Anolis sagrei: one gene and its partners. The protein of the gene in region 1 interacts with the protein of each later gene in a pairwise test. Links are inferred from orthologs where the notes say so. Each region holds a gene or a part of one and is shown on either strand. Other genes may lie near its edges. The genes, in order: AQP1, RGS17 and CEP44.

What was found.
Region 2: the proteins of AQP1 (region 1) and RGS17 interact in binary tests that used the Homo sapiens proteins (3 or more experiments, as listed by UniProt). The two-hybrid records come from large-scale screens. The link is inferred for Anolis sagrei from reciprocal best matches to the Homo sapiens genes AQP1 and RGS17.
Region 3: the proteins of AQP1 (region 1) and CEP44 interact in binary tests that used the Homo sapiens proteins (3 or more experiments, as listed by UniProt). The link is inferred for Anolis sagrei from reciprocal best matches to the Homo sapiens genes AQP1 and CEP44.

The regions. Positions count from the first base shown.
Region 1 is NC_090026.1:126,034,891-126,041,906, reverse strand, and holds the start of AQP1 (aquaporin-1), read right to left. Parts: upstream 3,092-7,016; 5' UTR 2,615-3,091; coding exon 2,225-2,614; intron 1-2,224. UniProt on the Homo sapiens protein: Forms a water channel that facilitates the transport of water across cell membranes, playing a crucial role in water homeostasis in various tissues.
Region 2 is NC_090021.1:71,470,149-71,477,333, reverse strand, and holds the start of RGS17 (regulator of G-protein signaling 17), read right to left. Parts: upstream 3,067-7,185; 5' UTR 2,983-3,066; intron 1-2,982. UniProt on the Homo sapiens protein: Regulates G protein-coupled receptor signaling cascades, including signaling via muscarinic acetylcholine receptor CHRM2 and dopamine receptor DRD2.
Region 3 is NC_090025.1:61,099,519-61,107,204, forward strand, and holds the start of CEP44 (centrosomal protein of 44 kDa), read left to right. Parts: upstream 1-4,593; 5' UTR 4,594-4,694; intron 4,695-4,713; exon of another isoform or gene 4,714-4,764; intron 4,765-7,686. UniProt on the Homo sapiens protein: Centriole-enriched microtubule-binding protein involved in centriole biogenesis. In collaboration with CEP295 and POC1B, is required for the centriole-to-centrosome conversion by ensuring the formation of bona fide centriole wall.

The DNA of each region.
Region 1 (7,016 bases):
CCACATGACCTTGGAGGTGTCTACGGACAACGCTGGCTCTTCGGCTGAGAAAGGGAGATGAGCACCACCACCCCAGAGTCGGACATGACTAGACGTAATATCAGGGGAAAACCTTTACCTTTACCTTCCCTTTCATAGAATCATAGAATCAAAGAGTTGGAAGAGATCTCATGGGCCATCCAGTCCAACCCCATTCTGCCAAGAAGCAGGAATATTGCATTCAAATCACCCCTGACAGATGGCCATCCAGCCTCTGTTTAAAACCTTCCAAAGAAGGAGCCTCCACAACACTCCAGGGCAGAGAGTTCCACTGCTGAACGGCTCTCACAGTCAGGAAGTTCTTCCTCATGTTCAGATGGAATCTCCTCTCTTGTAGTTTGAAGCCATTGTTCCATTGCGTCCTAGTCTCCAGGGAAGCGGAAAACAAGCTTGCTCCCTCCTTCCTGTGGCTTCCTCTCACATATTTATACATGGCTATCATATCTCCTCTCAGCCTTCTCTTCTTCAGGCTAAACATGCCCAGCTCCTTAAGCCACTCCTCATAGGGCTTGTTCTCCTGACCCTTGATCATTTAAGTCGCCCTCCTCTGGACACATTCTAGCTTTGCTAACACAAGCGACAACACAGAGAAAATAATTTTAGTACAGTTGCCAACTTTTATGTGAAAGGGGCTATTGTGCCATTAATAGCACAAATTTTAGTTGGAGTGACCAGCTGCAAAAGGGTTCGAGGCTCCTCTGCTTATAAACATTTGTCATTCCTAAATTAGAAGAAATAATTTCCCAAATCCCTCCTTCTAGAAATCAATGAAAAGACCCCTACAGCCCTAGTATCTTTGGCACCTTTGCCTAATAATAAAGCATCATTAAAAGCACAGAAGCCTGATTGGAGAAGAAAACATCAATACAGCCTCTTTCCAACTTGTGCATCTCTTTTTGCCTTGGCTAAACGAGAGCACAGAGCTTCTCTCCTCTTCCTTTGGAGTTAATTTTAATGATATTGAACGGTCAAAGGATGGATTTTCCACCTCAATGAGCTGAAAGTCATGCCCCAGGTTAATTGGAGAAGATGATCTCCATTAACAGCTTCATCATGTTTGGAGGCTCTCAACCTTCCTAATGCTGTGACCCCTAAATACAGTTCCTCATGTTGTGGTGACCCCCAACCATAACATTATTTTCATTGCTACTTCACAACTGTAATTTTGCTACTGATATGAATCTCAATGTAAATATCAGATATGCAGGATGTCTTTTCATTCACTGGACCAAATTTGGCACAAATACCCAATATGTCCAAATTTGAATACTAGTGGGGTTCCGTGAGGGGGTTGATCTTGTTATTTGGGAGTTGCAGTTGCTGGGATTTATAGTTCACCTACAATCAGAGAACACTTTGAACTCCACCAATGTTAAAATTGAACCAAATTTGGCACACAGAACTGCCGTAACTAACTGAAAATACTCGAAGGGTCTCCTGGGCATTGACCTTTGGTTGTGGAGTTGTAGTTCACCAATATCCAGAGAACACTGTGGACTCAAACAATGATGGATCTGGACCAAACTTGGCATAGATACTCAATATGCCCAAATGTGAACACTGATAGTTTGTGGGAAATAGAGTTTGACGTTTGGGAGTTGTAGTTGCTGGGATTTATAGTTCACTTACAATCAAAGAGCATTCTGAACCCTACCAACAATAGAATTAGGCAAAACTTCCCACACAGAACTCCCATAACCAACAGAAAATACTGGAAAAGTTTGGTGGGCATTGACATTGAGTTTTGAAGTTGTAGTTCACCTACATCCAGATTGCACGGTGGACTCAAACAATGATAGATCTGGACCAAACTTGGCACAAATACTCAATATACCCAAATGTGAACACTGGTGGAGCATTCTGAACCCCAATGACCAACAGAAAATACAGTGTTTCCAAACAATGATGGATCTGGACCAAACTTGGCACAAATACTCAATATACCCAAATGTGAACACTGGTGGAGTTTGGGGAAAATAGAGTTTGACATTTGGGAGTTGCAGTTGCTGGGATTTATAGTTCACCTACAATCAAAGAGCATTCTGAACCCCAATGACCAACAGAAAATACTGAACCTTCTCTTCGTGACCCTCCCCAGGGGTCCCAATCCGCAGGTTGGGAAACACTGCTATGGTTGGTAGTTGTCCAACTTTTTTGTGATGAAGGAAAGAGTAGATAAACTTACCTGGTTGAGGCCAAGGGAGTTGCCTGGCAGCGACGAAGTGATGCCCGAAAGGATGGCGGTGGCCACCACAGCCCCGAGGCACTGGGCGATAATGTACATGACGGCCCGCAAGATGCTGATCTGGCAACTGAGCAGGAGGCCCAAGGTGACAGCTGGGTTCAAGTGGGCTCCGCTGATGTGGCCCACGCTCTGGGCCATGGTGGCGATGGAGATCCCGAAGGCCAAGGAGACCTTCACGTTGTCCTGCACTGGCGTGGTGGTCTTGTTCTCCGACACGGGGAACTGGAACCCCAAGGCCGCCCCGATGCTGATGAAGATGAAGAGGCTCATGGCGAAGAACTCGGCCACCACGGCCCGCCAGAACATCTTCTTCTTGAATTCGCTGGCCATCTCGGCTACCTTGTCTTCTCCTTCTTCTTCCTCAACCCTTCTTCTTTCTTCAGCCTCCTTCTGCCCTCTGCCTCTCCAACCCTTTGCCAACTCAACAGGCTTCCTCGCTGGAAGGAAGGAGTCTGAAGAGGCAACGAGGAGAGTCGATTATTTATAGGGCTTTGGGTGGTCTGGAGGAGGGAAGAGGAAAGAACATCGGGATGCTGACTGTTAGACTGATGTAAGGCACCGTTCTCCGTTGCCTGCCAATTTCTTAACCCCCCCCCCCTTTTCCTTTCCTCCTTCACCAGCTTCCCTCCCCCTAACAGCAACCACTCCTTTCTCTTCCTTTGCAAACTCTGATCTTTGCTGCTGTTTTGTCGTTCTTAAAGGCATTTAAAGAAAAGAGTGATCCAGAAGGCTGCCTGCCTGCTTGCCTGCCTTGGGCATTGCCAGCATCTTTCTCCCCTTCCCTCTCCAACAGTTGCAAAATTAAGCTGAAGGGAAGCTTTTGGAAGGCGTCTCTCCTTTTCGCCCACTTTTCACCTTCTCTCTTTATCTCTCTGGACTCTCTTGACATGCTTGAGTGCCTTTTAGTCTTCTCTTTCCGTGAATAAGGAGGGAAAGCAAACTAAATCAGGAGATTTGGTTATTTGTAAGTTTTTTGGGCTGTATGGCCATGTTCCAGAAGCATTCTCTCCTGATGATTTGCCTGCATCTGTGGCAGGAGTCCTCAGAGGTTGTGAGGTCTGCTGGAAACTAAGAAAATGGGGTTAATATTCTCCTGTTTTAATGTTTTGTTGAAGGATTTCATGGCCAGAATCACTGGGTTGCTGTAAGTTTTTCGGGCTGTATGGCCGTGTTCCAGTGAAGGGAACTCCTGCCACAGATGCAAGCAAATCATCAGGAGAGAATGCTTCTAGAACATGGCCATACAGCCCAAAAAACTTACAGCAACCCAGTGATTCTGGCTATGAAATCCTTCAACAAAACATTAAAACAGGAGAATATTAACCCCATTTTCTTAGTTTCCAACGTCACCAGAAGCATTCTCTCCTGATGTTTCACCTGCATCTGTAGCAGGCATCCTCAGAGGTACTTGTGAGGTCTGCTGGAAACTAAGGAAATGGGGTTTATATTCTCCTATTTTAATGTATTGTCGAAGGATTTCATGGCCAGAATCACTGGGTTGCTGTAAGTTTTTCGGGCTGTATGGCCATGTTCCAGAAGCATCCTCTCCTGATGTTTCACCTGCATCTGTGGCAGGAGTTCTCAGAGGTTGTGAGGTCTGATGGAAACTAAGAAAATTGGGTTTAAATTCTCCTGTTTTAATTGTATTGTCGAAGGATTTCATGGCCAGAATAACTGGGTTGCTGTAAGTTTTTCGGGCTGTATGACCATGTTCCAGAAGCATCCTCTCCTGATGTTTCACCTGCATCTATGGCAGGAGTCCTCAGAGGTTGTGAAGTCTGATGGAAACTAAGAAAATTGGGTTTAAATTCTCCTGTTTTAATTGTATTGTCAAAGGATTTCATGGCCAGAATAACTGGGTTACTGTAAGTTTTTCGGGCTGTATGGCCATGTTCCAGAAGCATTCTCTCCTGATGTTTTGCCTGCATCTATGGCAGGAGTCCTCAGAGGTTGTGAGGTCTGCTGGAAACTAAGAAAATGGGGTTTATATTCTCCTGTTTTAATATATTGTCGAAGGATTTCATGGTCAGGATCACTAGGTTTCTGTAAGTTTTTCGGGCTGTATGGCCATGTTCCAGAAGCATTCTCTCCTGATCATAGAATCATGGAATCATAGAATCAAAGAGTTGGAAGAGACCTCATGGGCCATGCAGTCCAACCCCCTGCCAAGAAGCAGATATATTGCATTCAAATCACCCCTGACAGATGGCCATCCAGCCTCTGTTTAAAAGCTCCCAAAAAAGGAGCCTCCACCACACTCCGGGGCAGAGAGTTCCACTGCTGAACGGCTCTCACAGTCAGGAAGTTCTTCCTAATGTTCAGATGGAATCTCCTCTCTTGTAGTTTGAAGCCATTGTTCCGCATCCTAGTCTCCAAGGAAGCAGAAAACAAGCTTGCTCCCTCCTCCTCCATGTGGCTTCCTCTCACATATTTATACATGGCTATCATATCTCCTCTCAGCCTTCTCTTCTTCAGGCTAAACATGCCCAGCTCTTTAAGCCGCTCCTCATAGGGCTTGTTCCTCAGACCCTTGATCATTTTAGTCGCCCTCCTCTGGACACATTCCAGCTTGTCAATATCTTTCCTGCATCTGTAGCAGGCATCCTCAGAGGTTGTGAGGTCTGTAGGAAACTAGGAAAATAGTGTTTATATATCTGTGAAATAATGTCCAGGGTGGGAGAAAGAACTCTTGTCTGTTGGAGGTAGGTCTGAATGCTTCATTCAGCCACTTTGATTAGCATTTAACGGCCTAGCAGTTTCAAGCTGTGACTTCTTATTGCCTGGGGAATCCTTTGTTGGGAGGTGATTAGCATTCTCTCCTGATGTTTCGCCTGCATCTGTGGCAGGCATCCTCAGAGGTTGTGAGGTCTGTTGGAAACTAGGAAAATAGGATTTATATATCTGTGGAATAATGTCCAAGGTGGGAGAAAGAACACTTGTCTGTTGGAGCTAGATGTGAATGATTCAATTGGCCACCTTGATTAGCATTTAATGGCCTAGCAGTTTCAAGCTGTGACTTCTTACTGCGTGGGGGAATCCTTTGTTTAGAGGTGATTAGTTGTCCCTGATTGTTTCTTGTCTGGAGTTCCCCTGTGTTTGAATGTTGTCCTTTATTTACTGACTTGATTCTGGTGTTTTTTAATACTGGTAGCCAGATTTTGTTCATTTTCATGATTTTCTCCTTTCTGTTGAAATTGTCCACATGCTTGTGGAGTTCAGCGCCTTCTCTGTGTAGTCTGACATGGTGGTTGTTAGAGTGGTCCAGCATTTCCATGTTCTCAAATAATATGCTGTGTCCAGGTTGGTTCTCCGGAACTCCATCAGGTCTTCACTCAGCTGTCTTCTCATGGGGACAGACAATATTCTCCCGCCAGGGACATTCCACCCCATTTTTCTAGTTTCCAACAGACCTCACTACCTCTGAGGATGCTTGCCATAGATGCAGGTGAAACGTCAGGAGAGAATGCTTCTAGAAAATGGCCATACAGCCAGAAAAACTCACAACAACCTAGTGATTCCAGCCATGAAAGCCTTCAACAATACATTAAATCAGGAGAATTGCCTATAGAAGACCAGCAAGAAGACCAAACTTGAGAGGAATTATCCCAGGTGCTGAAACGTATTTGAGATCAGCACCTTGGAAAAGTCCTTTAAAGTGGAGAAAAACCTAGAGCAGATTCAGACATAGGGGGTTGAATGAAAAGTAATGCCTTCACCTTCATAACTCCTCAACAGGTGGCAGTACTGGTACACGGCAGGTACTGGCTTGTTCAGTAGACTCTCCTCTACAGTTCCATTTTGATCGGAAGCCTTAGCATTCAACGGTTGTATTTTAAAGTGTGAAGTATGGAACCCTGCGCAGACGGTCGGTCAATGCGACTTAAGCAACATGCAGTCATTGAATTCTCGACAGCAGAAGGTGTCATCCCAAAGGAGATTCATCAGAGAATGCAAGCAGTTTATTGTGATTGTGTTGATGTGAGTATTCTGCATTGTTGGGCGAGTAAGTTTAAAGATGTTGAGGTGGGAACATTTGACTTGCGTGACAAACAAAGAGATGGAACCACAATGCCAGGGAGATGTTGGCTCTAAGCTGGAATGTGTCCAGAGGAGAGTGACTCAAATAATCAAGGGTCTGGAGAACAAGCCCTATGAGGAGTGGCTTAAAGAACTGGGCATGTTTAGTCTGCAGAAGAAAAGGCGGAGAAGAGACATGATGAGGACCATGGATCAAGATGTGAAGAGAAGTCACAGCAAGGAGGGAGCAGGCTTGTTTTCTCCTGCCCTGGATACTAGGACTCAATTGAACAATGGCTTCAAACAACAGGAAAGGAGATTCCATCTGAACATTAGGAAGAACTTTCTGACTGTGACAGCTGTTCAGCAGTGGAACTCTCTGCCCAGAAGTGTAGTGGAGGCTTCTTCTTTGGAAGCTTTTCAGCAGAGGCTGGATGGCCATCTGTCAAGAGTGCTTTGAATGTGATTTTCCTGCTTCTTGGCAAAATGGACTTGGACTGGGTGGCCCATGAGATCTCTTCCAACTCTATGATTCTATGGCTACCTTAAAAATGGAAATGTAGAACAGAGAGGAATTGACCAATGTGTGGAATGTGATAATGTTGTCGGTAGGAAATGCCACATGAACCCTTCTCAAACAAGAAGGAGTGGCCTGCTCTAGCATGAACGCATTTTGAGATTCGCCAATCTGGTGCCGTGACTGAGAATGTGACCT
Region 2 (7,185 bases), on another chromosome or scaffold:
CAATAACTAGGAGTCAGCAATTTCCCCAGGAAGGAGAAGACAACACATTCCACTCCTTCTGCAACTGAAGGTTAGAGATTGGACATTTCCTTGCCCTTCCAAGAGATACAACTGAGGATGAATTCCCTTGGACAGAGACTGGGTATTTCCCTGCCTTTCCAGGAGATGTAACTGAGGATGAATTGCCTTCACTTGAGCTTGGACACTTCCCTGCCCTTCCAAGAAATACAACTGGGGATGAATTCCCTTGGATAGAGACTGGGCATTTCCTTGCCCTTCCAGAAGATGCAACTTGGGATGAATTGCCTTGTCTAGAGCTAGGACACTTTCCTGCCCTCCAAGAGATACAACTGAGGATGAATCCCCTTGGACAGAGAGATGCAACTGGGGATTAATTGCCTTGACTAGACCTTGGCCACTTCCCTGCCCTTCCAAGAGATACAACTGGGGATGAATCCCCTTGGACAGAGAGTGGGCATTTCCCTGCCTTTCCAGGAGATGCAACTGGAGATGAATTGCCTTGGTTTGAGCTTGGACACTTCCCTGCCCTTCCTTCCTTATTCCATCCATCCTCAGAGACAAGAAGCAACTGGGGATGAATTCCCTTAGAGAGAAGCTGGGCATTTCCCTGCCCTTCTAGGCAGGCCTGTAGCGAGGGGGGGGGGGGGGTTAGGGGTTCAACCCCCCCCCCCGAAATGTTTCAGATTTTTTTTAAAAAACCTGGTTTACTCATGAATTTTAACTGGTTAACCAAATCCCCATGCTAAGTCTATGAGATGCAAAAAATTAAGAGTCCCTCCAGAACTGCAAGCACTATCTCAAGCAAATATTGGCAATTTATTCACACTGTCATTACTTGCAGCAATAGCCGATGTAGTTGTTCTGGTACAGCTGTACCAGGAGCTCCAACTTTATTTGCTTTGTATTAGGCACTAGGTTTCAGGAACTCTGCAGATAGGTGGCTTCTTTGGTTGCAGTCATTGGGCAAGTCACCTGTCCATCATTGTTAAGTTTTGGTCCCGCCCCTTGCTCAGGGCAATTGGGAAGGGAGCCATTTTTAGTTAGTCTCAGCAAGGTAAGCTTATGTATAGGATGTGTGCAAGCTTCCCCTGTACAAAAGCTTCAACCCTTAAGACCTTCCAGGGGAGAAAGGTCTTAAGAGTCTCCAAAGAATTTCCAGGAAAACAGCCCTAAAGACCAAAGAACTCTAGCTGGAGAACATCTACTGCCTTGCTGGTAGGTCCACTCGACGTTTGAGACGCAGTTCGACCCGGTAGCGGAGCCCACATCAGTAAGGGTTAGATTACAGTCAGCCTGGGAGAAGTTAAAAAGGGGGTTTTCCTTTAAAGAAGAAGTTATTGAAGACAGTTGCCTGTTCTTCGTGGGCAAGATTAGGAATTCACCAGTTGCCTAAAAGCTTGGAATCATTTGCTTAACTTTACTGAAGACAAGAGGAGTTTCTGTTTGATTGTTCATTAGTAAAATACTTTGTTGTACTTCTCAAGCCATCTAAAGACTGTTTGTGATGGAAACCTCTGAGAACTTCTCTTTAGGCCCCCTGGCTTCCCGCTGGGCAAAGGTTGCACATCCTGTTCTAAAGACAATTATTTACAGGCCCAGCGCGCGACAGAACAGTAGTGAAGCAACCAAGTTGGCGGGGGGGGGGGGGGGATGATGAATGCTCTCATTAAGGAGACCAGACTTGGTGGAGGTGGTTGACAAGGGCGGAGCTGCAGGCTATTGAAGGCTGCTCTGCCCCCTGCTGTGCTCTTTGCTTCAGCGTGAGCTAGGAGGCAGGTTTCAACCCCCCTCCCAAAATTTCAACCCCCCCCCCGAAGTTTCAACCCCTCCCGAAATTTTTTTCTGGCTACAGCCCTGCTTCTAGGAGATGTAACTGAGGATGAATTGCCTTGGCTGGAGCTTGGACACTTCCAAGAGATACAACTGGGGATGAATCCCCTTTGTACAGAGCCTGTGCATTTCCCTGCCCTTCCAAGAGATGCAACTTGGGATGAATTGCCTTGACTAGAGCTTGGACACTTCCCTGCCTTTCCAAGAGATACCACTGAGGATGAATTCCCTTGGCGGGAGATTGGGCATTTCCCTGCCCTTCCAAGAGATGCTCTGTGAGCTTTGTAAGCACCCTTTCTCTGGCACCTCCATGCCCTTCCTTCTACAACTGGATGAAGAAAGGAGAAGGGGGACCCGGTGAAGCCCTGGAGGCACTGCAGAAGAAAAGAAGGTTCCCCTTTCTGCTGAGGAAAGGGCAAGGGGAACCTCACCTCCCTTGCCAGCACAAGGGAGGGAAAGGAGCCGGCCCGGTGGCTTCTTCTCTCCTGGGAAGCGTCCCAGAGGAGGAGGCAGGCGGAAGGCAGAGGACGCGGGGAAGCCCTCTCTCCCAGCCATGTCTTCCACACACTTTCCACACACCGCGGAGGATGCTGAAAGGCAAGGCGGGGCGGGGGAGAGAGAGAGGGAGAGAGGGAGAGGCTCGGGTGGGGGGCGGCGGCGTGGACACGCGCGCAAACGCATTGGGCTCCCTCGGCGGCGGGGAAGCCACGGACGCCCCCCGAGCCTCCCTCACCCGCATCCTCTCCTCTCTTCTCCCTCCTTCCTTCCTTCCTTCCTTCTATCTTCCATCCATCTTCAGAGACAAGAAGCAACACCCACCTCTACTCCCCCGCTCTCTCTCGCTTTCTCTCTCTCTTCCTTTTGGCAAGCCCTCCCCGCTCCTTGGGTCTCTTCTCCCTCTGCCTTGCCCCCCGCCCGTCCCCCGCCTTGCCCTCATCCATCTTTTCCCCCCTCGCGCCTATTCCTTTCTCTTTGCCACAGCAGACATGTTTGCTGCCTTGGGAAGAAGTGAAAGCCAACGACAAGGGATGCGGGGAAAGGAGGAGGAGGAGGAGGGCGCGGGTGGCGTGAGGGAGAGAGACCGCGCGGGGAAGGGGAAGGGGAAGGGGAAGGGAGGAGGGTCCGCCTTACCCACACACACCCCCGCCTGGCTGCCTGCGCGTGGACGATTCCCGGCGCGGGGGAGGGAGGCCCACGGGGAAGGCAAGGCAAAGGAAGGCGGGCGCCGCGGGTCGGCTAACGGAGCTGCTCCTGCTGCTGCTCGCCTGCCATCCGCCCAACTTCAGCACCCAGCCGGCAGGGAAAGAGAGCGAGAGAGAGAGAGAGCGAGATTGAGGGAGAAGGGAGGGAGGGAAGGGAGGGAGGAAGGAAGGAAGGCGGGGGGGGGGGGGAGAGGCTTCGGCGAGGCGGGCTGCGCATGCGCCTCTCGGCCCAGCGCTGGCCCCGGCGGAGCAGCTGGAGTTTCCCCGCTTCTCCCCAGCGTGACTCACGGAGGACCCCCTCCCCTCCCTTCTCCGCGACTGAGGAGACTCCGAGGAAAGGAGGGAGCGGGTGGCTGGGGGCTAGAGAGGAGGCCCAAGGAGGCGGGGGCGGGCAGGGGTGGGAGCGGGAGGCCGAGAGACACCCGGGGCACGTCCTGTGTCGATGGGAGGGCGGGGAGGGGGCGCCCAAAGCCCCTCAGGTGAGAGGAAGGAGGAAGGCCGCCTGGAGGGAGGGAAGCACCAGGGCCAGGAGGACGGGGCGGAAGGGGTTCCGCTTTGGAGGGGCAGCTAAGGCGCCAAGGGTGGCCTTCCAAGCCCCCGGGTCTCGCGGGAGAGAGGCGCGTGTGCTCCTCGCGCAGGCATGTGGGGGGGGGGGGGGGCTTGAGGGGCTTCAGCCCCCCCCCCCGAAATTCTCATGGTGGTTCGCGAAAAGGCCTTACTGGTGCATTATTTAAACTGTTATGTTTATTCATATCATGATCTGATCACCATACTCAATATATCCCATTTGCATGAGGGTATTGGGGTAATGAATCAAAAGGTTTGCTAGGCTAGACCCTCTGTCACTTAGACTCAGCCCCCCCCCCGAAACTCAGCCCCCCCCCCCAATCGAAATCCTGGCTACGGGCCTGTCCTCGTGGTCCTCCTCCTCCTCCAGGCTCCCCACGTTTCTGCTTCGGACAGGGACTGCGGCAGACACACGCTCGGGTTTGCCCAGGCAGCTGGCCACTCGGAAGAAGGACCCTTCCACACAGCCCTATATCCCAGAATATCAAGGCAGGAAATCCCACATGGCCTGAGTGTGGACTCAGATAGCCCAGGGCCCTTCCATACAGCGCTATATCTCAGAATATCAAGACGGAAAATCCCACAATATCTGCTTTGAACTGGATTATCTTCGGGAGAGAGAAGGTAGAAATGCATGCAATAAATAAATGAAATAAATAATTATCTGAGTCCACAGGAGCTCCCGGTGATGCAATGGGTTAAATCCTTGTGCCAGCACGACTGAAGACCAACAGGTTGCAGGTTCGAATCCAGGGAGGGTGTGGATGAGCTCCCTCTGTCAGCTCCAGTTTCCCATGTGGGGACATGAGAGAAGTCTCCCACAAGGATGGTGAAACATCAAAACATCTGGGCATCCCCTGGGCAACATCCTTGCAGACAGCCAATTCTCTCACACCAGAAGCGACTTGCTCCTGACATGAAAAAAAAAAATCTCAGTCCACACTCAGATAATATGCAATTTTCTGCCTTGATATTCTGGGATATAGGGCTGTGTGGAAGGGCCCGAAGAAAAGGTGTTTCAAAGCGGTGTATTTCACGATGGGAACACGTTATCATTACACACCAAAGGGTTACCCACAGTTTCATATTTATTTATTTATTTCAAACATTTCTATCCCCTCCTTCTCACCCCACCCCTGGGGGAGGGGGGATGGGACTCAGGGCAGCTCACAACCGGCAACCATTAGATGCCAAACACAACTATTATAATAACAATTGCAATTAAAACAATTTATTAAAACATCCTTTACAAAACATCCATTTAAAATTACATCAAATCCAAAGTCACAGTCTGAGGTCTGTCCATTGTGATCATTCATAAGTGATCAAGTTCTGTTAAGAAGAGGAGGCCGAGAGGGAGACATTTATCATTATTTTTATATTTCTTGGGAGGAGAGCAATGACCAAATTCAATAAAGCAGTGAAGAGTAGAGACATCACACTGGAAACGAAGATCCACATAGTTAAAGAGATTGTATTCTCCGTAGCAACCTACAGGATGTGAGAGCTGGACCATAAGGAAGGCTGAGCGAAGGCAGATAGATGCTTTTGAACTGTGGTGCTGTGATTCTAGATTTTGGAATTCTGGATTACAGATACTCTTTCTGTATCAAGGGCACACTCTATATCATAAGTGTGTGAGGTGTTTCAAGGAGATGACACATATATCTCTCTCAACCAAACATTTTATAATCCATGTGGGTGCATTCTCTTTTCTTAAGTCAAAATAGCAGGTATTTTAGAATCCATGGGCAACAAAAAATGCCTGCAGAAATGTCTGCAGAAAAATCCAGACATCTCTGTTATTGTTGGCAAAAGGCAACAGTAAGCATTCAACTGGCATTTACTGCCTTTCTTTGAGACCCCAAATTCAACGGCAGCACTTGGAGACAAAGCGAATAGAACTTTAGTAGGAGTGATTACTTTTTCCCAAACAATTATGCAAAAATCTTAATGCAATCCATTTAATTTGGAAGCACTGTGTTACGAACATGCTAATAAAATGTTATCATTTATTTTTAAAAGCTTCATAAAACAAAGCTAATTCTGAGCAGGCCCCTAAACAAGCCTACAATTATGTTTTATAAATCAGTAAATATAATTTATTCTACAAAACAGAAAAAGGACATCATTATGATGAAAAAGGTCATCATAAAAAGCTAACACAAGCCACCACTTATAATTCATTATTTCTTGGCTTAGTGTCTGAGATGGCCTCCTCCCTGCCTTACAATAGGGCAGCAAATCAGTAGAGCTCTAGGAGAGAATACTAAACCAAACTATAAATCTCAAGGTTCCCTAGGAAAGAATTATGGCAGTTAAACTTATATGAAACTGTTATCGCTATGCAGTGTAAATATAGGCTAGAATCTTGTTGGTGACATGCCGATTTCAGGGTTACTTGTTCCATCTTTGTTGTGTATTCTTAAGTCATTTCTGACTTATTGTGTCCCTAAGGTGAACCTGACATGGAAGTGGGGTTTTTTTTGCCAAAATTAATTATCCATTTTTATCAGTATGTATCACCTTTTTCCTGATACTGTTGTCAGACGAAACATGCACTGACCCCATTACACTGAAATACTTCTATTTTTACCTTCAGAAATACTCCGCTTTGACTCATCATACCATGGAAGGCTGTCTCCTTCAAAACCATTCAGAAAAAGTCCTATGTGACTTTTAAAAAAATCTAAAACTGCGCAGTGATGTAGCCTCAAAATCTTGAATTACTGCCCTTGCATGATTTGAAGACATTGTTGCGACAGCGCAGTAAATGTATTTGCCTGATTGCTACTTTTGGTGTGGAATAAGGAGTTCTAATGAGTCTGAGAAAGAGTTCTGAGAAATCAAATCTTATCAGATTTCTAAATGATAGATTATTGATTCATTAGATATGGCTCCTTTGCTGCAGTTACTACTTCAGGTAAAGTGGTAATTCCCGATTTCCTTAATCCCAGAGGTCTTTCTCCTTTGACATCCCAAAACAGAACTGGCTGCTGCTTCAGTCATGAACAGTCCAGGATCAGGAGACTCTGCCCTCAGACAGTCCACCAAATTTTAAGTCGCATAGTAGCTGATGATATGTGTATTGATTTCCCAATCACATTAAAAAACAATGCTTCAGTGAAAGAAAACTCCACAGTATTTCAAATACAACTATAATCCCGTGTGCAAATACTCCATTTCTGCAATGCTTTGCAGACGGATTTCAACAGATTACTGACAGAATGGGGAAAACATCATGTGGTGGAACCTGGTTGACATCATTCTCAAACTGTATCAGAAATGAAGGCAAGAGAGAGAGAGAGAGAGAGAGAGACTTAAATGAGAGAGAAACTTACTAGCATGACGACAATGTTCAGTGGGAGATTTGAATGCAATATTCCTGCTTCTTGGCAGGGGGTTGGACTGGATGGCCCATGAGGTCTCTTCCAACTCTTTGATTCTATGATTCTATGAGAATTGCTTATCACACCATGTTGCTAATTTGGTTTTGATATGGAGGAGGACCTTTTTTGTTTTGTGGAATCTACTTATTGAAATTAAGTGGGCTCCCAATGTTGGA
Region 3 (7,686 bases), on another chromosome or scaffold:
AATATATTAAATATGCTACTAGTAATATATAATCACATACAATGACAATACCGTTTTATTATTGTATATTGGTATATTTGAAATTGTAACATTTTTCATTTTGAGTCTCTGGCCCCTTCCACACAGTTGAATAAAATCCCCCATTATCCGCTTTGAACTGGAATAAATGGCAGTGTAGACTCAGATAATCTAGGGCCCTTCCATACAGCCCCATTATCCCAGAATATCACGGCAGAAAATCCCACAGTATCTGCTTTGAACTAGGTTATCTGAGTCCACACTCAGATACTGTGGGATTTTCTGCCTTGATATTCTGGGATACAGGGCTGTGTCGAAGGGCCCCTAGTTCAAAGCAGATAGTAATAATAATACAATATTATAATTATTATGCCCCCGCTGGCGCAGTGGGTTAAAGGCCTGTGCCGGCAGGACTGAAGACTGACAGGTCGCAGGTTCAAATCCGGGGAGAGGCGGATGAGCTCCCTCTATCAGCTCCAGCTCCTCGTGTGGGGACATGAGAGAAGCCTCCCACAAGGATGATAAAACATCAAATCATCCTGGCGTCCCCTGGGCAACATCCTTGCAGACAGCCAATTCTCTCACAACAGGAGCGGTCGCTCCTGACACGACAAAAAAAAATTAGAATTATATATTTACATTACATGTAATATTACTAATAATATTACAATATAATGGTATAGTACAATATAGTAATATATAATACTGATATTTTACTATGCTAATAATATAATATATTGTATGAAAATATATATTGTAAGGCGCTCTGAGTCCCCTTTGGGGTGAGAAGGGCGGCATATAGATGCCGTAAATAAATAAATAAATGTATTGTCGAAGGCTTTCATGGCTGGAATCACTAGGTTCTTGTAGGTTTTTTTCGGGCTATAGGGCCATGTTCTAGAGGCATTTCTCCTGACGTTTCACCTGCATCTATGGCAAGCATCCCCAGAGGTAGTGAGGTCTGTTGGAAATAGGACAATGGGTTTATATATCTGTGGAATGACTGGGGTGGGGCAAAGAGCTCTCTGCTGAAGCTAGGTGTGAATGTTTCAACTGACCACCTTCATTAGCATTTGAAGGCCTGCCTGAGCCTGGGAAAATGTTCTGTTGAGCGGTGTTAAGATGTGCCTGGTTGTTTCCTCTCTGCTGTTTTGCTGTTGTAATTTTAGAGTTTTTTTAATACTGGTAGCCAGATTTTGTTCATTTTCATGGTCTCCTCCTTTCTGTAGACTCCTGCAGAGGTGAGAGGACCCCTCTTGTCCTTTGCTGAACGTAGCATTTGTTGGATTTTCTTGGTGGGTTTGTAGATTGTTTGTATGTTATGTTTCCTCAGCTGGTAAGCTGGAGCACCTGATGAACCAGCCTGGAATAAATAAATATTTTGGGATTTTCTGCCTTGATATTTTGGGGTCCCTTCCACACAGTGGAATAAAATCCCACATTATCTGCTTTGAACTGGGTTATATGGCAGTGTGGACTCGGATAATCCAATTCAAAGCAGATACTGTGGGACTTTCTGCCTTGATATTCTGGGATGTAAAGCTGTATGGAAGGGCACTTATCAAGTCTTCAGTCCTGCCGGCACAGGCCTTTAACCCACTGCGCCAGCGGGGGCATAATAATTATAATATTGTATTATTACTACTATCTGTTTTGAACTAGGGGCCCTTCCACACAGCCCTATATCCCAGAATATCAAGGCAGAAAATCCCACAGTATCTGAGTGTGAACTCAGATAACCTAGTTCAAAGCAGATACTGTGGGACTTTCTGCCTTGATATTCTGGGATGTAGCGCTGTATGGAAGGGCACTTATCAAGGTAGAAAATCCCACAATATCTGCTTTAAACTGAGTCCACACTACCATATATTCCAGTTCAAAGAAGATATTATGGGGTTTTATTCAGCTGTGTGGAAGGGGCTTAAGTATAGAGAGATAAAGCGGAATATAAATAAATAAACAAAATAAAATCTCTATGAATTTCACAGTCTTCCTAGGCAAGGGATACATTGAGATGGGCTGCTCTGAAATATAGCCCACAGCGCCTGGTATTCCTTGGCGGTCTCCCACCCAAGCGCTCACCAGGGTCGACCCTGCTTAGCTTCCAAGACCAAACGGCTCCCGCTGCCTCCAGGCTGCTGAGGCGAGAAGAGAAAACGCGCTTTACCTGTCCGAAATTGAGTCCCAACCGCCGCCGCGACGAGTGCTGTGCCAGTCAGTGCCCAAGCTTGACAAGGAGGGTCTGGGGAGATGCGGAGGCGCTGGCGAAGCCCTGGCGAAGCGCTCGTGTCCCGCCCCAAACCGCGAGCGGCCAAAGGTGGAAGTTCCCTGCTGGAGCTCTTGAGGTTGCCGTGTATGTTGTTACCGGAAGTGACGCTCCCCTCCTCGTCCGTCGCGGAAAGCAACAGCCGATTCGCCTTCGCAGATTCCGCTGTCAATTTGAGGAGGCTTAAGCGTCCTAGGATATACTATCAGATTTTAATTTTTTAATAGCGGTGGGCCGAGCTGAGTTAAAGGTAGCTCTCCGCATAACTGAGCGTTGTTCTCAAAAAAAAATTTTTTGACAAGCGAGTGAGGTTTGACGAATCTGCCGATTGGGAAACGCCGGATGGTTTCGATTTCCCGCGGGAGAGCTCAAAACAGCTGCTCCGTCTGGGAGATAAGAGCTGTGCCTTCCCTCCGTGTGTGGAAGGGCCCCTGCCATTCCGCTGCACAGAACCTCACACTTTCTGCTTTGAACTGGAATATATGGCAGTGTGGACTCAGGACCCTTCCACACAGCCCTATATCCCAGAATACCAAGGCAGGAAATCCCACAAACTGAGTTATCTGAGTCCAAACTCAGATAATATGGAATTTTCTGCCTTGATATTCTGGGATATAGGGCTGTGGGGAAGGCCCCTGAGTCCATACTGCAATACATTCCATTTTATCTGAGTTTGGAGTCAGATAACCCAGTTTAAAGTAGATACTGTGGGATTTTCTGCCTTGATATTCTGGGTTATATGGCTGCGTGGAAGGCCCCTCAGGGTCCTTCCACACAGACATATAACCCAGAATATCAAGGCAGAAAATCCCACAGTATCTGCTTTGAACTGGGTTATCTGAGTCCAGCCCACGCTGCCAGTTCAAAAAAGATAATGTGGGATTTTATTCAGATGTGTGGGAGGCCACAGCCCCTCCCTAACAGGATCTGATCCCAAGTTTTCTGTTTTAAACTGGATTATATGAGTCCGCATTGCCAGATAATCTGGGATAAACTGAAAACCTGGGATCAGATCCTGGAATATAAGGCCTGTCTGGAAGGGCCCTGAGGTCCCTTCCCCACAGCTGAATAAAATCCCACGTTATCTGCTTTGAACTGGGATATATGGCAGTGTGGATTCAGATAAGGAAAGAATAGTTAGAGGATTTTTTTTAAAAAATGCACAAAAACTCTTGAACACAACTGTCGCTGTGATTCAGCACTGGCTTGATACTCAGGGCCCTTCTACACAGTCCCTATATGCCAGGATCTGATCCCAGGTTTTCTGCTTTAAACTGGATTATAAGAGTTCGCACTGCCAGATAATCTGGGATAAACAGAAAACCTGGGATCAGATCCTGGGATATAGGGACTGTGTGGAAAGACCCTCAGAGGTCTATAAACAGCTCACAGCCTGCGTAAGGGCTGAGTGTGGACTCAGATAATCCAGTTGAAAGCAAATATTGTGGGATTTTGTTCCTTTATATTCTAGGTTATATGACTGTGGAAGGGTCCTCAGACAGGACCTATATCCCAGAATCTGACCCCAGGTTTTTTTTTTTTGCTTTAATCTGGATTATATAAATCCACACTGTTGGATAATCTGGGATAAACAGAAAATCTAGCTTCAGATCCTGGGATATAGGGCCTGTCTGAAAAGGGCCTCAGGGACCTTCCACCAAGCCATAGAACCCAGAATATCAGGGCAGAAAATCGCACAATATCTGCTTTGAACTGGGTTATCTGAGTCCACACTCAGATGTGGGATTTCCTGCCTTGATATTCTGGGATATAGGTCTGTGTGGAAGAACCCTGGTTTATCTGAGTCCACACTGCCATATATTCCAGTTCAAAGCAGAAAATGTGGGATTTTATTCAGCTGTGTGGAAGGGGGCACAGAGGGAAGGAATAATACATTAAACTACACAGCTGTAAAACTAATGATCCAGATAATATATAAAACATATGCCTTAGGAAAAAAATATCTGATCAATACATGTAATCAAAATTATTAAACAAGGTCACACTAAAATTCCAACAAAACTTTAGATCTCCTTAACTGGTGAGCCTTTAAGGCCTTTAGCAACTTTATAAATATGCATTTACCTACATAATTAAACTGATTGGTCGCATTTATTTGTGATTTATGCCCAGTATAAGCTTGAATAATATGCATTATATTCCTGTAGTTTTTGAAATTAATATCTATCAGCCACATCAAACTTTCTTCCTTCCCAACTGTCCTTAAATGCTGGGGGCATGTGAATGAAACCTGCTCAAATCTCGGCAGAGGAAGATTTCTCGCGAGACCTCCGTGCTTTATACTCTCCCGTCCCCAAAGAATCTATGGAAGTCTCGCGATGATACGGCAAGCAACCATCGCGAGAAAGGTTTGAGTGTCGAGCGCGCCGTTCGACCCGCCGGAGGCAAGGTAGTTGAGGTGTTGTTTTGATGGGGCTCGCGTCTGTCAGTCAGGGAGTGAGTGAGTGATTCGGTGTTTGGTATGTAAAAGATGATGTGCTGTGTGCCAAATGCTCGGTGATGGCTGTGGCAGGGGCTTGCTGTCGTTAAATCTAGAAATACTGGATTCGGAGAGCCTTGTATTCCTGTCTCGCCATATGAGACGCCGGGGAACACAAACAAGACCTCCCTGTTTTCCCCGCCGGCCCATCTGTGTTCTTTGGGGCGTAATATAATAATAATAACACTTTATTTATATTCCGCCCTAATCCCAGAGGGGACTCAGAGCAGATTGCGCATATAAACAGACACAGGCAAACATTCAATATCTTGTTACAAAGAAATACAATGACACAAATACAGAGGCAAAGGCTTCTCCTTTCATTTCCGGCTCTGGAGGTGGTGCTCATCTCCGGCTCTGTGGGAGGTGCTTATCTCAATTTCCAAGCTATTTATTTATTTATCCTGTCAGTATTACATTGTATTACATTTTTAACAAACAGACAAAACAGAGTTTGCAAGCCGAGGAGTCTGCATTGTCCGTAGACACATCCTGGTCGTGTGGCTGGCATGACTGCATGGAGTGTCATTGCCTTTCCTGCTAGGTTGGCAGGAACTAGGGCTCACCCTGCCCCACGTATTCGAACTGCCAACCTTCAGATTAGTTCAGCAGCACTAGGTTTGCACAGATCATGATGATAAGGTTTGGTATTAATGTTAGGAGTGTAGACTCATATGATGGAGCTTATGGAAGAAACAGGAGCATTTATTCTTCTCCATTGTGTATTCTTCTCTATTATGTACTGGGGATCACAACCAGACACAGTGAAGACATCTGCCCTTGCACTATGCTACTCTGCTGCTGAGTATGTATGCCCAGTGTGGAACACATCTCACCACGCTAAAACAATAGATGTGGCTCTTAATGAGACATGCCGCATTATCACGGGGTGTCTGCGCCTTACACCACTGGAGTAATTACACTGTTTAGCCGGTATTGCACCACCTGACATCCGCCGGGAAGTAGCAACCAATAGTGAAAGGACCAAGGCAGTGACATCTCCAGCTCATTCCCTGTTTGGATATCAGCCAGCACGTCAACGACTTAAATCAAGAAATCGTTTTCTAAGATCTACAGAGACACTCGCTGGAATACCTCAGCAAGTGAGAATCCAAAAGTGGCAGGCTCAAACCCAGCACCTCAATCCATGGGTGATACCAGATGAGAGACTCCCCCCTGGGCACACAGAAAACTGAGCGACTTGGAAGATGCTGAACAGACTGTGCTCTGGCACCACGAGATGCAGAGCCAATCTTAAGAAATGGGGCTACAAAGTATGGAGAAGAGCAAACTACAGACCACCTCCTGCAATGCAACCTGAGCCCTGCCACATGCACGATGGAGGACCTTCTTGCAGCAACACCAGAGGCACTCCAAGTGGCCAGCTACTGGTCAAAGGACTTTTAATCAACTACCAAGCTTGCAAACTTTGTGGTTTGTTTGTTTGTTAAAAAATGCAATGCAACTGTTTGGTCTGCCCCTTACACGATAAATATGTTTGGTCTGCCCCTTACACAAATATAAATATGTATTATCTCAGATCCCAAGGATAAGAAAGTAGCTAAGTAGAAATAGGCTTAGATTGGCAGCTATTGGCAGCTATTTAGAGACTTTCCAGTGAATAGCATATGACAGGTTAATCACAGAAAAGAGACAGGCTGGCAGTGGCATAACATGGTGTTGTAGGATGGGGATCATCACCTGGCTTCAATGTCAGTTTGCCTTCCTTAAGTGATAAAGTTTCCTATTATTTTCTCTCCTTAAAACTGTATCAATTTGTGGTTAGAGCATTTGACTAGTACTCCGGAGACCCGGGTTTGAATCCCTCCTTTGGCCATGGAAGTCCAATGAGGCAAAGTCACACTCAGCCCTAGAAATCACAACACATAACAACCACAAATGTGTAGACCTGCCATGGAGAAGTGGATAAATACCATATTATCCTTTGTGTTTTGAAGCAAGAAACACCAACCCTTTGGACAGTACTAATTAAGGGTGCTTCTACATTGATAATGCAGTTTGATGCCACTTTAATTGCCATAGTTCGATGCGATAGAATCCTGGAAGTTGTAGTTTTCTGAGGCCTTTTTCCTGTTCTCACCAAGCTGCAGCTCTCAGGATTCCATATCCTTGAGCCATGGCAGTTTACAGGCCCTTCTACACAGCCATATAATACCCAGAGTATCTGCTTTCAACTGGATTATCTGGCAGCATAGACTCAGTTAATCCAGCTCAGAGCAGTTAATGTGGATTATATGATTTGATAACCTGGATTGTTTGGCAGTATAGAAGGGGCTTTCGTAGCGCCAATCTGCATTAACTCTACAGTACATGAACCTGTTGTTGTCTTAGGAGTATATTTTTAGAGGTAGCCAACGAGGCCTTACAGGAAAACAAGGTCTAAATAGCAATGCTTTCATTGCTTTAGAAAGCCTTTGGTTTTTTTTTAGAAAGTCCTCCCACCGAGGGCCCTTCCAGACAGGATCTGATCCCAGATTTTCTGCTTTAAACTGGATTTTATGAGGGCTCTTCCAGACAGGCCCTATATACAGAAGAGTCTCGCTTATCCAACCTTCACTCATCCAACATTCTGTATTATCCAACAGTCTGCTTCCTGCCTGGATTCACAGCTGTTTCAATACATTGCAATGTTTTCGTGCTAACTTAGTAAATATGATCATTATTACATAACGTTGCCATGTATTGAACTGCTTTCTCTGTCAATTTGTTGTAAAACACGATGTTTGGGTGCTTAATTTGTAAAATAACGTAATTTGATGTTTAATAGGCTTTTCCATATTATCCAACATTTTTGCTTATCCAACATTATGCTGGCCTTTTTATGTTGGATAAGATGTACCAGGATCTGATCCCAGGTTTTCTGCATATCCCAGATTATCTG